Linked DNA regions of Danio rerio. The protein of the gene in region 1 purifies or fractionates together with the protein of each later gene. This does not show direct contact. Links are inferred from orthologs where the notes say so. Each region holds a gene or a part of one and is shown on either strand. Other genes may lie near its edges. The genes, in order: pfdn5, vbp1, pfdn6 and pfdn1.

Region 1 (4,561 bases):
CCAGAATCAGATTTTTTTTTCTTTTCTTTTTTTTAAAAGGTTAAAAAAAATCCAGTCCACGATTACTTTTTGTATTGAAAATACGTCATTTTGTGTGTTTTTCCACCAATCAGTGACAGATTTATGAATTTGGTAATTAGGAATTTAAACTGTAATTTCCTAAACAGTTTAGTAGTTTTGATCGGGACTGAGGTTGATTAACAGATTTATGGGAAAACATATTTATCTGATGCATTTTTACAGCAGTTTAAATTAGTGGAGGTTTTCATCCCAAACATAACAAAAGGGTAGCAAAATTGCCCAGAGTGTATCGTTAAGTTCTTTAAAAATGTCAAAGCATTTTCCAAAAACGTGTCAAAATTAAATTTGTCGCCAAAGTCGTTCTGCTAGTTGAAACAGAAAAAGTTGACCAAATGAAGACACAAAATCACCCCAGAGTGGATGAAAACACCCTCAACAGCACACAGGGGTTAACTGAAATGAGGGATGTGCTAGTAAAGGAGTACACATGGAGGAAAAACATGAATTGGTCATCTGTCACTGCAGACTGATGGATAAACCGACAGGCAACAAGGACTGTAAACACTGAAATCGGTGTTCCCATAAGTCTTCAAAATGTCAGGGACAGCGTTTTCAGAGACGTACAAATATCTGACGTACCTGATCTGATGTGATTCTTATGTGCTGAACGGCCAGGTTTAATGGTGAATCTGAAAAAATGAAATATTAATTTAAACAAGTGTTACGGACTTCCTGTCATGAGTTAGTGTTTCAGATGAGATTTTCTGCTTTTGTAAAATACACACTACTCCTGTTGGAGAAAACTCAGGACAATACCAAACACATAAAGGCAAACACACACATACACACACAAACATTAATGAATGCCCATGAGCTTTATAAGGATTTGAGCTGTGTACATTTTCTTCACTTTTTAACTGGTGTGTATTTTTAGTGTTCAATGTCTACTGAAATACAAACCTATTCTAATACTTAACAATGAGGCTTAAAATAGTTGAAATTTGTGCACCACATGCATTGACAATGAATAGTTTGTTAATTGATTAATAAGGATTTACTCATGTTTACATACTAATCAAATACATTCCCTACTGAAAAATCAGTTGACCAGCCTGGTTTTAGAGGGGTTTTGGCCATTTCCAGGCTAGTTTCCAGCCATTTCCAGCCTGGTCTTAGCTGGTCAGGCTGGAAAATGACCAGCCAAATCCAACTAAAACCAGCTTGCCCAGCCTGGTTTAAGCTGGATATAGCTGGTTTTGGCTGGACTCCCAGCTTGGCTAGGCTGGTCAAGCTGGTTTTAGCTGGTCATCTCCCTTTTTTTTTAAGGTAATGTTAATACATGCTGTATAAATGCACTGTTAGTTTATTTAGTCGACGTTTTATTTGTTAAAGTATAACAAATGACTGTAGTGTGTAATGGAAAAAAATCAATGGTAAAAGTCCTTTTAGTTGCGTCCGCTTGACCCGGAAGTTTTCCTCACCCTCTTTTATTGTCAACATGGCGGTGAATCTCACTGAATTGTCTCTTCCACAATTAGAAGGCTTGAAAACTCAGCTTGATCAGGTAAATTGTGTTAAAAATAAAAAACATCATCGTTTCGTATGTCCGAGTAGCATCAGGTGCTGCTGTTTTTCTGTCAGTGAATTAATTTACTGACGGGCTGCGGTTGTCATGCTGTCTGTGCGCGTGCTGCTGCTGCTGGTAATGCGGAAAAAAAGCCCTCTATGATTGTCCACATGGCTGCATTTATTCCGTATGACAGAAAATGAGATGCAGAATGACTTTATCGACGTTCACTTGCATTGTATGTGAATGGTGTCTCAGTCAGTTCTCACTAAACACAACTTGGTTTTATTTTAACGAGTTCACAGTTTGAAATATATTTTGGTACCAAGTCTATAATCTGTATAAGATTAATTTAAAAGACTAATTTTGTTTTTCTGTGAGTAAACTTTTGAAGTTTACATGTGTCCTGATTATCTGTTTTATTTTGACCGTCATATTTATTTTACTGTATTTTACAGAAGACCCCAACAAAAATGTCATAACAATAGTTTATATATATTAAAAATTCTGGGCAGCCATATTTTTAGACCAAGATTATTTTGATGGCATTTAACTATTTAAAGGTTGAACTGTAGCTCCCAAATTCTAATTATTTTTCTTTTTTTAAACATGCATAATTTGTCACTATCCTTCAAACCCTTTATTTTACTAATTTTTACTTTTAAGGTTTAAAACCTTGACTATTCCAAACCTTGCCGGTTTACCTTGCAAACAGTTATCGCCCCATACCTAGTACAGAATAAGTACTATGTTTTTCCCATTTTTAAATAAATATATATGTTGCTCTGAATTACCCTGACATTATTTCCTAAATTATTATTATTGTTAATTATTTGATAGATTTTCACTCATTTTTTGATTTTATTTTTACAAAAGTTATTTGAAACATTTAAGTTAACACTTTGCTTGCGTTCAGTGTGCTTTCTGTGAATATAAATGCAATAATGTTAATTTACTTTGAGACACCAAAAAGGGACATCTCAAGGTAGATTTACACGTTATTTTGTATAAATTGCTTAAAAATGTGTTTTCTAGGAAACAGAGTTCCTGTCATCGTCTATAGCTCAGCTGAAAGTCGTCCAAACAAAATATGTGGAGGCCAAAGACAGTTTGAATGTGCTTAACAAGAGCAATGAAGGTGACTTTTAAAACTCTTTTATGACGTTTTTAGCTAAATCTGACGTTTGCTAATTTTTTTTTACTTTTTCTCTCAGGTAAAGAACTACTCGTCCCTCTCACCAGTTCTGTATCCTCTAAACAGCTGAGTTATAAATGAGTTCTGATTGATTTATGCCACATAAGAAAGTCACACAGACAGTTTGATGTGTGTGTAATTAATTTGCAGTGGTCCGTTATTCCCTTAACCTCAGTCATGTAGATGTATGTACCTGGAAAGCTGCATGATGTGGATCATGTGTTAGTGGATGTGGGAACAGGTTATTTTGTGGAGAAGGTGAGTAAGAATCAGTCTAGTAGTTTTAGTATATGTAAAAATGTCAAAACTGAGTAAATCACATTGCCTTTTCTGTCTTTTCAGAATGTAGAGGACGGCAAAGAGTTCTTTAAACGCAAAATCGACTTCCTTACTAAACAAATTGAAAAGATTCAGCCTGCTCTTCAAGAAAAATATGCCATGAAACAAGGTGATTTTCTTGTCTTTTGAAAAACATGTTTCTTATGTTCACCATAGCTGATAAAAATACAGTACATTTTTATTGTATTTCTTTTTTCACTATTTTCAAGTAAGCCTGTCACAATAATCAATATAACGACTGAGCGTACAACACATGGACATGACCTCAATCATTTTTGGTGATGCAATATAAATCACACATACATAAAGACCAATTCTGGCAATATTTTAGGTGTTTGTGCAACATCTCTATCTATTGGAGATGTCAGTATGGTTAAAAATCACAATTTTATTTACTATAGATTACTGTCGTATATTTTCATGTGGGTGTCTAACAACTGAAAATAGATCTGGGGTCCGTTCTTCGTACCTCGCTTAAATGATATAAGATGATTTGGCAGATCCTGGATCTTTTCATCTTGATAACTGATCTCTGGCTAATTTGGTTCTTCAAACAAGTTTGCGAATCCGATTAGAATGTCTGGATAAACTGATCTGAGATCGCTGCATGTGTTGTGAAGGACAGATCCATCGATCCTCGAAATCATGATCAGCAATGCAACGATTGGCTGACGGCACAGCAGCGTAATGACATCATCTGAATAATATTCAATTATCCATGTGAGCAAAATTACATCAAACAAGCAGTAAACGGTTTGTTGTGAGCTGCAGGCTTAACACTTTCATGTGTCAAGAGTATTCATTATGTATTTTAAAGCATATCAATGTATTTAGTTCTACATTTAGAGAAGATTTTCTTTATTATAGTAGCTTAGGCCTACTCAAGTTTTTTTTAATTGGAGTAAGGAATAACTGTATGAATTAATTTTCCATCAAAAAAGCATTTTGATAAAGGTGAAGGTGTCTGCAACTTTTGTGAAGCAACATATCACCGGCATATTGGCGATCACAACATGTGCATGACTGCATAAATCAGTATCCTTTTTTTAAAAAAGTTGAATATTGTGCATTTGCATTGTATTTAAAAAGTTCATATCAATACATTTTCTCTTTGAACCACCAGGTGGCAGTCTTTGTACTTATTTCGGAGTGCAGATTGCATAAGTTTTATTTATCTATATATTTCTTAAATTATAGTAACTTATAGTTGAAATATATATATATTTACTATTTTTCCAAGTGTATAAAACTACTGTAAGAAAATATCAGCATTTGGTACATACTTAAAGTATTATCTTTGCTTAAACTAACCAGATCTAATCCTGTTTATATCAAATGAGCCTGCTCCCTAGCAGGTTTGACCTACCAGAACTGTTGCTATGACAACAAGTCTCAGATGAGTTTTGAAGAACTAAACAATCCTGGATCATGTCAAATCG
Region 2 (4,521 bases), on another chromosome or scaffold:
TTCTCTTACAGCAGATTGTAAAATGAACATTTTTGTTAGCGTTGACCAAAACGGATTACACACCGAATTGGCAACAGAGCCAACAGAGGATTCCGTTTGGTCTTAAGTTTTTTTTATATGGGTTATTTTCACTATTTATGATGACATAGCAGTCAAAATAGGACAACCGAGCTCATGTATGGGGTCAATACTAGACCTCTGTCAGAGAGGGGTGGGTCTTCTGAACCACCTGCACCCCCCATGGCTACAGGCCTGACATAGTTTGCCACTTTACCTTATTCTGTTATCCGAAGAGGAAAAATGAAAAAACATATGCTGAATAGGTTGGCGGTTCATTCCACTGTGGCGACCCCTAATTAATAAAAGGACTAAGCCAAAAATGAACGAATGAACATTGGAGTATTCTTTTGACTTGTTTTTTAAAAAAATAACACACACACACACACACACACATAAACACAAACCAAAGTATATGCTGCACATTTCAGTATTCACATATTTTGTTTTACTGTAAGAAACTGAAAATTACCAATAAAAATATGAATTATTATCTTTTTAAAATAAGCTGGTTTCACCCTCTATTCTAAAGAGGGTGGAATGTGCTTCTGTTTAATTAATCTGCATGTATTTTGGCTAGTTTCCACATTCTTTAATGCAATTTACCCTAAATATACTGCATTTTTGACTTAGGCTCATTCATTCACTGACTAATTTTCTTAGCTTAGTCCTTAAATCCATCAGTGGTCACCACAGCAGAATGAACAGCCAACTTATCCAGCATATAATTCACACAGCGGATGCCCTTCCAGCTGCAACCCAGTAGGCAACTGGGAAACATCCATACACATTCATTCACACACATACACTACGGCCAATTTAGTTTATTCAATTCACTTAGCACATGTCTTTGGACTGTTTGGGGGAAACCGGAGCACCCGGAGGAAACCCACACAAACACAGGCAGAACATGCAAACTCCACACAGAAATCCCAGCCGGAATTTCGAACCAGTGACCTTCTTGCTCTTAGACAACAGTGCTAACCACTGAGCCACCGTGTCGCCCTTGCCTTAATCTGTTTTATATTTGTTTCTCTTCTGCTTTTATTTACAATCATTTTTAAATATGAATTATAATGTGACACTGTATGTGTGATATAAGTGCATATATAGGCCTATTTAATAAAACACATCTAATAAGGTGCTATTCTTGCCCTGCTACTTACTTTCACCTAAAGATCCACATGCAGACAAAGAAAGCCTGTACTGAAGCTGACAGTAACATTAGTAAGCAGAACAGACAGACTCAATAATAATATTATGAAAAATCAAACTGAAGACTAAGAGCCAATGTATTTATCTGTTTTTTCATATCACCGCAAATGTATTGGATCAAACCTCTGGCTTGCCACCAACTGCTGTCGTCACGGCCAGCGCCTCGTGCTATTTCTCATGTCAATCAGGCAACACTGACATCTGCCGGTCGGTTTGATAAATGTCGGATATTATTAAAAAACATACGTTAACAAAGACAGATGGACTACATTTGAATTTAAATATGATATAAAAAGAAATTAATGACAAAATGGCCAGATGAAATCATCACCTGCTCATTGTTATAAGAAGAAGAAAGTCACTTTTATTATGCACGCGGCGCCCGTGCGTAAGAACAGCGTGCGCGTGCGTCAAAGAGGAAGAGTCGTAAGTCTCTCCAAAATGGCGACGACCATAGAAAGTGGCAATGCAGGAGCTGCAAATAAGAAAAAACACCTCGGAATCCCTGAAGCAATATTTGTGGTCAGTGCGAAAGGGATATATAGTTAATTTTCATGTCCATGCTGTCGACATGTTTCTGTCTGTGTTGGTTTGTTCGTCTTTAAACGGCTTTAAGTAAGAAAGCGCCTTGTTCTTCTCCTTATAAGGGTGCAGGGATTGCTTGCTCATGTCTTGAATGTGAGCTTTGAGTGACAGAGAACATGTGAATAACTGGCTCTCAAAAACCGCTTTGTTAATTATAAGCCTTAATTAACCAGATGTGAAACACATTGTGTGTTCTGTAGGAAGATGTGGACGCCTTCATGAAGCAGCCGGGCAATGACACAGCAGACGCCGTGCTGAGGAAGCTGGATGAACAATATCAGAAATATAAATACATGGAGCTCAATCTGGGGCAGAAGAAACTCAGGTTTGGTTTTGATCTGTTCTACGTTGTGCTGTAAAAAGAAGTCAATCTTTCAGTCACAAATTACAATAAGATTTCATTGGGTAATGTATTTACTGACACAACCAATGATTAACAACACTTGCACAGCATTTATTGATCATAGTTCTACATAAATGTACTAATGCATCAATAACATCCAAATTTATGCTTAATATTAGTTAATGTATCGTGAGTTAACATGAACTAACAATGAACAACTGTATTTTCATGAACTACTGTTAACGAACATCTAATACTGTCATAAATGTATGTTTCATTGTTTGTTTATGTTAGTATATGCATTAACTAATAAAACCTTACTGTAAAGTGCTCTGGATAGCATGCGTATATGTGGCTACAAGTTGTTTTTGCAGACTATAATTGTTGACATTTTTTCCCTCTGTTTCAGGTTGAAAAGCCAAATTCCACAAATCAAACAGACATTAGAAATCCTACGGCACATGCAGAAAAAGAAGGTAAGCTCATTTCTTAATTAATGGTGATTTAAAAAGAAAATTTGTCTCAAAATTGCTTCACAGAAACAAATCAAAGTTCAGTCTAAAATTACTTAAAATGATTTCTCAAAGTTATTTACTGCTTTTAGGATTTCTTTCATGTACTCCTTGTGAGAAGTATATATATATATATATATATATATATATATATATATATATATATTTATATATATACTTTTTTTAATAAATGTATATAAATATTTTTTTTGTAGTGTGTTGCAGAAGAGCAGTCACATATTAGATCACGTGTCATAATTGTGTCTTTAACATACACATAAATGTGTCTATTCATCATAAACTGGCCTGTCAATCAGCCTGTCATTTAAAGTCAGTCTTTTTCTCTATACATGTTATAGATCTTTTTGTGCTCTTTTGCTTCTAGGGCTGTGTAATTGAGGGGAAAAATGAACATTTCAATATTTTATTTTTCATCTTTGTAAACAAATGATCTTAATACAATAAATCATATAAGCATAATTAAGGTGATTTTGTTTTTTAATATTATAATATTAACAGAGGTTTTTTAATATTATAATCAAAAACAAATTATTACAATACAGTAAGATAGTTATGAAATTCGCCCTAAAATTACATTTTAAATGATAAATTTTTGAGATGCAGCAAGTGTATTGTTCTGCTTCACCAGAATTCCTCTTTATTTATTTTTATTTATGCATATCAAATCAAAGGACACCACAGATCCCATGGAGACACATTTTCTGTTGGCTGATAACGTCTACTGCAAGGCCTCTGTTCCACCTACAGATAAAGTGTGCTTGTGGCTTGGGGTAAGTGTTGAATGTTGAGTCCTGATGCATTTGATGTGAGCATGAAATCAAAATAATTATTATCTATCAAGATAATTATCTTTTAATTTAATGGTTTATTATAAGACCAAGTGTGGTACTGATTTTTGTTTTTTTACTACCCTGTGTCACTGCATTACATTATGAGCTGTGAAATCCTTGTTGTGTTGACTAAAACAACTGCTTTAAAAAGCATGTGTGAAAGTGTTGACGATCATTGCCTTTGTTTTGCTCTTTTGTACTGCTTATGAACTCATGAAACCTCTTCATCACTTGTAGCGTACCGGGTTCCCACATGTCTTAAAATTACTAGAATTTTATAATGTTTATTCCAGATATTGTCAGTAGGGATGTAACGATATTAAAACCGACCCGAAATATCACAATACACCAACCACGATACGTATCTTGAAACTCGTGGCATACCGCGATATTCTTATGCCCCCTGCTGCCCATTGTTGAGGTTGACATCACTTGTCTCTAACTAATTGAACCAATTTAAACATATTTATCACATTTGATTAAATTGTTTTAGTAATGATGAGCTTTTGTTTTAAATATTATATTCTTAAGTTAGTATTTTCCAAGTGCATGTCATGTGATGTGACTTAAGAAAGCATCACACTCAGTTACTACTGTATGCAGGATGGCTGCTTCACACAGTACTGAGATTCCAGATCCCCCAGACACATTTAAGTCATCTGTGTGGGAACATTTTGGTTTTCCAGTGGAGTACTGGAATGGAATTTGTGTCGTAGACAAAGCACACGTCTATCTATCGTAACTGTTTCACAACTTACACAAAACCTCACAATGTGAGGGTGTAAGCAACAGAACTGCCAACTAAAGTGATTTAATCTACAAAAGTGAAACCAGAAAAATGCCCAAATATATACAAAAAAGAGAAATATTTACACTAATAAAAATAATATAATAAAGTAGCAAATTCAAACAAAGGATCAAACAAAAATGAGTTAAACTTGAGTAAGGGGACAATTGT
Region 3 (4,414 bases), on another chromosome or scaffold:
CACACAGTTTACTAACATAGAACATCCCAAGTGTATCCAATCTCTAGCCGTGTTTATACTAGGTTCCTACTAGTATTCACAACAAATAAAATTAACCCCACCAGAAACATTGGTGTGTCGACACAAACTACTGTGTCGCTCCCACAAGTAACAAGCATAATCAAAACAACTGAGATTAAAGTGTCCAAAAAAAGTGATTTCTTCAACTAAAATTGCAGGTTCAGAGGACTAATCATCATACAAATGTTTTATATGAATTTTACAAAGTGACAACCTCTGTCATAACTCTAAAACCATGAACACATTTCATAATACACATTCAACTCACAGCAAAGATATCAGGTTCATTATAGAAAAAAGCAAAAATAGCCACACTCAAAATGACTGCCTGACAAAACAATAGAATTTATGAATTATTTATGTTTTATTCTATTATTTCATTCCTGCCCTTATGAAATTGAACCAAGGGAAGTGTGTGTGTGCGCGTGTTTTGACAGACATATTATTAGTGTAACTAACGTTACAGGTTTACCACAGATACTATGGTTAAATGGTGGTTAATGGTTGTTTGTTTGTTTGTCATCTTAGAAAATTTGATTTTTTTATTGAAAAAAATAAAAAAAGTTTTGAAGAATCACAAGAAGAAGAATAACGTTACTAGCAAATATCGATAAAGTTAAAACATCATGACATCTATTACGAAAATTAACCATGGTTTTACCACAAAAACTAACCATGGTAACCTCAAATCAACATGGTTTTGTTACACTAACCCCAGCTAAACTGTAGTACTTTCAGTAATACTGTGGTTATAAATAACAATCGATACGACAAAAAAAGTATGATTACACTTAACTCTTTAAACCATGGTTCATTCTCGTAATAGATGAATATAGCACATGATACTATTTTACCCTACATATGTTTAAAACGCTGCTTAAGGTGCAGATTTAGAACAGTCATTACATTTGCTTGTGTTATAGAAAAAATATATAACTGACTTTACCTGCTGTTGTGATTCTATGTGGTCGCGCACACCCGAAAAAAGACCTTCACGTTAGAATTTGAACCATGCGCGCTGCCATATTGCCTTGACTGTCACTACAGAGGGCTTGGAGGAAGAGGATAGACTGACACCACATGGACAGGAGAGGCACTACGCTTTTAGATACTGGAAAAATTGTACCCATCGTATTAATCCAAAAATCACATTAACTGATGCGTTAAATCTACATATGGTGCGTAAAATTATAGAGCAAATTATTTAAAGGTGTGTGAATAAACATAATACTGAAAAAAATTGTGTATGTTTTTCTTAAACACTAGATGGCGAAGTAACTCTTTTTATCAGCTATCGTAAAACCCCCATGTGACGCAATGATATGACGTCATTTCCCGTGCGCCTCAGACTGTGTGCTTGAGTAGTGTGCTGCTGACTGTCTGCATTTGTCATAAAATATCGTGATTTTTATTATTTAGCAATAATAATAAGTCAGACATTGGAATAGCAGGTGTGATGGCTGAAGCGATTCAGAAGAAATTGCAAGCTGAGTTGGAGAAATATCAACAACTCCAGAAAGGTAACTTACAGCACGAAAAGCTCAGAGTTAGCAATCCAACACTCCCTGCATGGGCATCTTTATATTGAGGCAAAGTTGGTTTTATATTCGCACATTCGTTCAGTGACAATGTGTGGCATGCTCCCTATATTGTTTACCATGGTACTTTGAATATTCGGTCTGAAATCACATGTAAATAAGACTACATTAACGTTATCACTATTTATTTGACTGAATAATGGTGTAATTTGATAGCCATCGTCTGCTAATATGGTTTCACTATTTAGGATTTGCTAACTACAGAATACTTTTCGGAATTTTTAATAGGAGAAAGTCTGAATGTGTAAATATAAAACCAACTTTACCTCATTGTGTAAATTGGCTTTCTCTCTAAAAATCTTATTAAAGTATTTTTGTCAATTCTAAATGGTAAAATCATATTAGCAGCCATTGACTATCAAAATCACCATGGTAAACAATGTAGGGATGTCACAAGTTTTCACTGAACGAATGTGCGAATATAAAACCAACTTTACCTCAATCATCTTTATGTTCGGCTCCTTTAATAATTTATATTTAACGTATTTGTAGTAATTTGTTGTATTCAGGTTTAATATCTATGTAGTGCAATGCACTGATAAAGTACAAATGTCACGGTTATGTTGTATTTGGACTTGATTTAGCTACCCAGAGCTATTTTAGACAAAATCCACATTCAATCTACAAATTCTCATTATTGAACGTTTTAAAAAGGCTTTTACTATTTTATTTTATTTTATGATTCATTGTGTAAGTTTCTTGGTATTTATAGTAACACCATTATGAATATTCATATAGCCAAGTTATACCAGTGTACACTTGCACATTTCCTGCAACATATCTTTGAATAAATAAAAAGTTTTAACTAAATTAGAATAAATATAATTAATTTGAGATTTTATAAATCATGATTGTTCAAAAAACATATACCAAATAATGCATATATATATGTATGTATGTATATATGTATGTATGTATGTGTGTGTATATATGTATGTGTGTGCTCCTTTAATAATTTATATTTAACGTATTTGTAGTAATTTGTTGTATTCAGGTTTAATATCTATGTAGTGCAATGCACTGATAAAGTACAAATGTCACGGTTATGTTGTATTTGGACTTGATTTAGCTACCCAGAGCTATTTTAGACAAAATCCACATTCAATCTACAAATTCTCATTATTGAACGTTTTAAAAAGGCTTTTACTATTTTATTTTATTTTATGATTCATTGTGTAAGTTTCTTGGTATTTATAGTAACACCATTATGAATATTCATATAGCCAAGTTATACCAGTGTACACTTGCACATTTCCTGCAACATATCTTTGAATAAATAAAAAGTTTTAACTAAATTAGAATAAATATAATTAATTTGAGATTTTATAAATCATGATTGTTCAAAAAACATATACCAAATAATGCATATATATATGTATGTATGTATATATGTATGTATGTATATATGTATGTATGTATGTGTGTGTGTATGTATATATATATATATATATATATATATATATATATATATATATATATATATATATATATATACATACATGCATGCATGCATGCATGCATGCATGCATACATACATACATACATATACATACATATACACACATTTCAAAACATGAATTCCCAGAGAAGCTACCAACCACAGAGTCATGGGAGCAGAAAAAATCAATCTGTAAATTTTTAAAAAATTAAATACATTTTAAATAAATAAATAAACATGTGTTATGGATGTGACGAAAAAAGTCTGCGAGTTTACAGTATACAACATACTTTGATGTTGATGTTGATGTTGTTTTTATTTAATTTAGTGATAATATATATATATATATATATATATATATATATATATATATATATATATATATATATATATATATATATTAAATATATATAAATAAAATAACATTAAATATAAACATTTCCCCGAGATGGGTTGCGGCTGGAAGGGCATCTGCTGCGTAAAAACTTGCTGGGTAAGTTGGCGGTTCATTCCGCTGTGGCGACCCTGGATGAATAAAGGGACTAAGCCCACAAGAAAATGAATGAAATAAAAACAATATCAACCTTTAAAACTTTCAGTAATGATAAATCATTCATCATTTTTTTCGGCTTAGTCCCTTTATTAATTTGGGGTTGCCATAGCGGAATGAACCGCTAACTTATCCAGCACGTTTTACACAGCGAATGCCCTTCTATCTGTAACCCATCACTAGTAAACTATACACAATCATTCACACACATACATTACAAACAATTTAGCTCACCCAGTTCACCTACTGACCCAGCCGAGGCTTGAATCAGCGACTTTCTTGCTGTGAGGCGACTGCGCTGCCCACTGCGCCACCATGCTGCCCAGTAATGATAATACTGTAGCTTATTATAAGCTTTAGATTTTAAATTAAAAATAGATTTTATTGATAATAGAAAATATGTAATTGCTTTGATTTTAATGTCTCATGATTGCTCAAATATTTTAAAATTAAAATATTTAATGAAAGGCAAAATTATAATATTACTACATATTATAAAACAGACCAGTGTATTGTACTTGTGTAAACTTTCACTTTAATGTGTTTGATTTCTTTTTAAAATAACAGACATATCATGTATTCATATTTTTCAGAAAACATTATCCAAAAAGTGTGAGATATAGTGTAAAAATGAAACATATTCTAATCTATCATGGTTTAGCTTTTAACATGAAGATATCTTTATATTGTATTAAAATATTAGAAGGGTATTTGTTGACATTTAATGGTTTGTGACACATGTAGTTATATTTCATAAAATGTTATAAA
Region 4 (4,363 bases), on another chromosome or scaffold:
ATCCGAGTGCTTTCAGGAAGTGATGTAATCTCTCCATGCGTGAGATTTGCGTGCTTCTTTACACGACTCAGCTGTTCGATCTGCAGGTCTGCCAGCTTCACCTTCTGCTGAGTGTCAACCATTTTCGCCTGCAGCTCTGCAAAAGCCTGCAAAGATGCCGAGATTGAGGTTTTGATTAGAAGGAAATCCGCTGTGATATGATGCAAATACAAAGTTGAAGTCAGAATTATTAGCCCCCCTTTGATTTTTTTTCTTTTTTAAATATTTTCCAAATGATGTTTAACAGAGCAAGAACATTTTTACAGCATCTTTGATAATATTTTTATCTTCTGGAAAAAGTGTTATTTGTTTTATTTCGGCTAGAATAAAAGCAGTTTTTAAATTTTAAATGTCACTTTAAGCTGTATAGTAGTGTCTTAAAAAATATCTAGTAATATATTATTTACTGTCATCATGGCAGAGATAAAATAAATCCGTTATTAGAAATGATCTATTAAAACTTTTATGCTTAATTGGGGGAAAAAATTAACAGGGGGGCTAATAATTCTGACTTCAACTGTAAATTTACAATAAAATTTTATTCATTTTTTTCCCTGAATTTGCATAAAATAGCAAAAAACGTGCATACATGTTTATATTCTGTTTTAGAAAACACGTCGCTTCTGATGAGTTAAAAAAAAATCTAAATTTGGCGGAAATGACATTGATTTTTGTTTTCTGAATGAAATACAGGGTTCTGCAGGTTTCACAAAATTAAATTTAGGACATTTTAAGACATTTTTAAGACCATTATGAATGCAATTTTAGACTTATACAGAACTTAATGCTGAGGATTTTTTATATCCAAGTTAGAAAAGATTTTCACTTGCTAGATAAAAAAAATATTAACATTGAATACAGGAAATATTATGTTTCAATATTTTTTTTATAAATTTTCAAAAATATTCATCTACAAACCCAATAATCAGGGCCAGACAGAATCTGCTGACATTTTTGCTATTTCTGCTGAGAAATTTGTAAAATAAAAAAATAAAAAAATAAAACAGCTGATTTTTGTGGAATGATTATGGTTATAGCGTCATAACTAAAAACTTAATACATGAAATAAAAGCAACAGCTTTTTAGCTCTTATGTTTACAATGCAAATCCAACTAGATCCACGTATTTAGTAAACAAAGCAAGTTTCTCATAATACATCCACTAAAAGACAGAAAATATTACTCTAAAAACTGAATTGTAAATACATCATATGAACATTTTAATATTACTATTGTTATATCACAATAATATTATTGAAAACAATTTAAAACTGAATAAATATAATTTTATACACATTTATACAAGTAAATAAATAGACTCAATGATGGGCTAAAAGTCTGCGGAAATTTGCATGCGCAGATTCCGTGTGGGCCTTCCTATAACCCTTACCAAGAATAGAACAAAGCATAGCTGTCAATTACTTCCGTCTACAATAATAATATTTTAATAATACAAAATGTAGGTCAGGTCAGCAACCACAGCGGTATATAAAGTGGAGTACTTTTTAACAAATGTTACTGTGAGAAAAGTAATTAAATGCTATTTTTAAATAAAACGTTAAAAGTTTTATTGAGATTGGGATTGTTGGTGATTGTTGAGTGTTAATGGCCAGATTGGGTAGTTATTCATGAACATAGGAAAATTAAGACCTGCTAAAAAATATTTAAGACCTACAACACAATATTTTAGTAAATCTAATACTTTTTAAGGCCTAAAATTTTGTTTTTGAGATTTAAGACATTTTAAGACTTTTTAAGACCCCACAGATATCCTGGAAATAACACAGATTTTGTTTCTATTTATAAAAGCTTTATATTTATAATTTGTATGTGTCATCAAATGAGTAATTGTGATTATTGCATTGCAAAATGAATGCAAATAAAATATCTTATGTATATATTAATATATTAATACACATTCATTTAAAAAAAAATGTTTATTTATAATTATCTATCATTAATGTTTGCATATAATACTAATTATACATAAATATAACTGTATTTTTATAATAATAAATCATCTATAGATATAATAAAAAATATTATTTTGTATGTTACTAATTACGATTAAACATTTGACAGCTCTTTTTGACAGCACAATAATAACATTTTTTTCACATTCATATGTAATACAGCAAATTCAGCATTTCCTATAGCTGTAACTGTTATATTTAAACAATTTATATGTTGTTATATGTTGTTGCAGTTGGTAGGGCATTCGTTATGTAAAACATGTGCTGGATAAGTTGGCGATTCGTTCCACTGTGGCGACCCCTGATGAATAAAGAGAAGCCGAAGTAAAATGAATGAATGAATGAATTAGTTGTGACAAATTTGGTGCCACTAATAAATCTTTCCCAGGTTTTCAACATAAATTCTAGAACAAAAATAAGACACTTAGAAAGTCACAACATATAATCTATAAATATATATAAAATATACATAAATATAGACATCACTAAATATTTTGTAAATAAAAAATATTATTTTGCATGTGACTAATTATGATTAAACATTTGACAGCTCTTTTTGACAGCACAATAATAAATTTTTTATCAAATTCATATGTAATACAGCAAATCCAGCATTTCCTATAGCTGTAACAGTTATATTTCAACAAATTATGTCATATATATATATATATATATATATATATATATATATATATATATATATATGGATAAGCAAAAACTAAAGAATAAGCCATATTGAAAGCTTCCTATAGCATGTAATGATGTGTTGATAGATTGATATGTGTTTGGATATTCATTTCTAAAGGATTTACAGTGGTAAACTATAAATATGACGTTGCACATCTTTATAACAAACAATACACATTAAAAGGATTCGCATGCACCTACGTTACACACTGACAGATCGCGTTGCTTAAACAGTTTTATACCTTACTTCTGCTCCACAAAAGCTTAATAACATTTATTCAGTATTTTATCATAACAAAGTAACAACTCTGTTTGGTTTTTAGATATAAAACCAAAAACCACCCTTTACCTTCTTCAACTCGAGGTCTACGGGAGCCGCCATGATGCTAAGTGGTACGAGTCCCTGCGCATGCGCGAAACAAAGAGCTTGTTGCAAAACCTAGTGAGCGGCCTACATAGACAACATTTTCAATGTCAGACAGGCAGGCAATCCACAATAAATGTTCACTAAAAAGGCAGCTCGGTAGTTTTGCAGACACGGTAAGTTTGTGGACTACTTTCAATCTCAAAACAGTGCAACAGAAATGACAGTATATGATAAAGGTTTCAGCGTTATACCAATGTTAGCGTCAAAATGTTTAGAAGCTGACTCTTAATTTAAGCGGACTTTAAGCGGACTTATTTTTAGTGTCTATTATTGTGTGCTACATGTAAAATGTGTCACCCCAGTGGCAACATTGCTCAAGATTTTTTTATTACTATTAACGTGTTGTTTTGTATTGTAAAGTCGTGTATGTTCTGCATTTTAACTCCTGTTAACACTCTGTTTGGTTTCCTCAGGAGACAAATGATGGTAAACCAACTTGAGACTTAAATCTCCAAGCTAAAGACAAGTATATCAGATGTAGTAATGACAACACAATATTTTTATAACTTCACACAGTGAGTGTTTAAACTTTACAACATACATCTGTATATCTGCAGATTTATATCCGACACACTAAAATTTTATAAATAAAAAATAGTAAATCTAAATAATAAAAATAGTTTTATTATTGGTTGTGGGACGACACGGTGGCTTAGTGGATAGCACTGTCTTCTCACAGCAAGAAGATCTCTGGTTCGAGTCCCAGCTGGGTCAGTGGGCAATTCTTTGGAGTTTGCATGTTCTCTCCATGTTGGCGTGGGTTTCCTCAGGGTGCGCCGGTTTCCCCCACAGTTCAAAGACATGCAGTGAATTGAATAAACTAAATTGGTACTGTATGTGTGTGAATTTAATGAGTGTTTATGTATCTTGTCCAGTACTGGGTTGCAGTTATTAGGGCATTTGTTGTGTAAAACATGTGCTGGTTAGTGATTCATTCCACTGGGGCAAACCCCTGATAAATAAAGAGACTAAGCCGAAGTAAAATGAATGAATTAATTAGTTGTGACAAATACGGTGCCACTTATGAATCTTTCCCAGGTTTTCAACAAAAATAAGAGACACTTAGAAAGTCACAATAGTTTATTAAACAGCAGAAATTTGTTACCATTGCTTGAAATTAGTACATGAAATCATGTAATTTATACTAAACGCATAAAACAAACACACTAATAAACGTATTCCATTTTATTTCACTTAATTTAAGCTACACTTTCTCAGTAATACATATAAAAAAGGCT

Evidence for each region.
Region 2: the proteins of pfdn5 (region 1) and vbp1 purify together in Homo sapiens (affinity purification with mass spectrometry; 7 studies listed by BioGRID and IntAct, counting the BioPlex papers as one, with this or other methods). This does not show direct contact. The link is inferred for Danio rerio from reciprocal best matches to the Homo sapiens genes PFDN5 and VBP1.
Region 3: the proteins of pfdn5 (region 1) and pfdn6 purify together in Homo sapiens (affinity purification with mass spectrometry; 5 studies listed by BioGRID and IntAct, with this or other methods). This does not show direct contact. The link is inferred for Danio rerio from reciprocal best matches to the Homo sapiens genes PFDN5 and PFDN6.
Region 4: the proteins of pfdn5 (region 1) and pfdn1 purify together in Homo sapiens (affinity purification with mass spectrometry; 7 studies listed by BioGRID and IntAct, with this or other methods). This does not show direct contact. The link is inferred for Danio rerio from reciprocal best matches to the Homo sapiens genes PFDN5 and PFDN1.

What each region holds. Positions count from the first base shown.
Region 1 is NC_133181.1:42,214,939-42,219,499, reverse strand, and holds the start of pfdn5 (prefoldin subunit 5), read left to right. Parts: upstream 1-1,513; 5' UTR 1,514-1,519; coding exon 1,520-1,585; intron 1,586-2,623; coding exon 2,624-2,726; intron 2,727-2,802; coding exon 2,803-2,834; intron 2,835-2,966; coding exon 2,967-3,041; intron 3,042-3,125; coding exon 3,126-3,231; intron 3,232-4,561. UniProt on the Homo sapiens protein: Binds specifically to cytosolic chaperonin (c-CPN) and transfers target proteins to it. Binds to nascent polypeptide chain and promotes folding in an environment in which there are many competing pathways for nonnative proteins.
Region 2 is NC_133182.1:23,876,002-23,880,522, reverse strand, and holds the start of vbp1 (prefoldin subunit 3), read left to right. Parts: upstream 1-1,689; 5' UTR 1,690-1,713; coding exon 1,714-1,794; intron 1,795-2,057; coding exon 2,058-2,182; intron 2,183-2,609; coding exon 2,610-2,676; intron 2,677-3,404; coding exon 3,405-3,503; intron 3,504-4,521. UniProt on the Homo sapiens protein: Binds specifically to cytosolic chaperonin (c-CPN) and transfers target proteins to it. Binds to nascent polypeptide chain and promotes folding in an environment in which there are many competing pathways for nonnative proteins.
Region 3 is NC_133189.1:35,060,122-35,064,535, reverse strand, and holds the start of pfdn6 (prefoldin subunit 6), read left to right. Parts: upstream 1-1,480; 5' UTR 1,481-1,516; coding exon 1,517-1,580; intron 1,581-4,414. UniProt on the Homo sapiens protein: Binds specifically to cytosolic chaperonin (c-CPN) and transfers target proteins to it. Binds to nascent polypeptide chain and promotes folding in an environment in which there are many competing pathways for nonnative proteins.
Region 4 is NC_133196.1:32,811,551-32,815,913, forward strand, and holds the start of pfdn1 (prefoldin subunit 1), read right to left. Parts: upstream 3,094-4,363; 5' UTR 3,081-3,093; coding exon 3,048-3,080; intron 147-3,047; coding exon 1-146. UniProt on the Homo sapiens protein: Binds specifically to cytosolic chaperonin (c-CPN) and transfers target proteins to it. Binds to nascent polypeptide chain and promotes folding in an environment in which there are many competing pathways for nonnative proteins.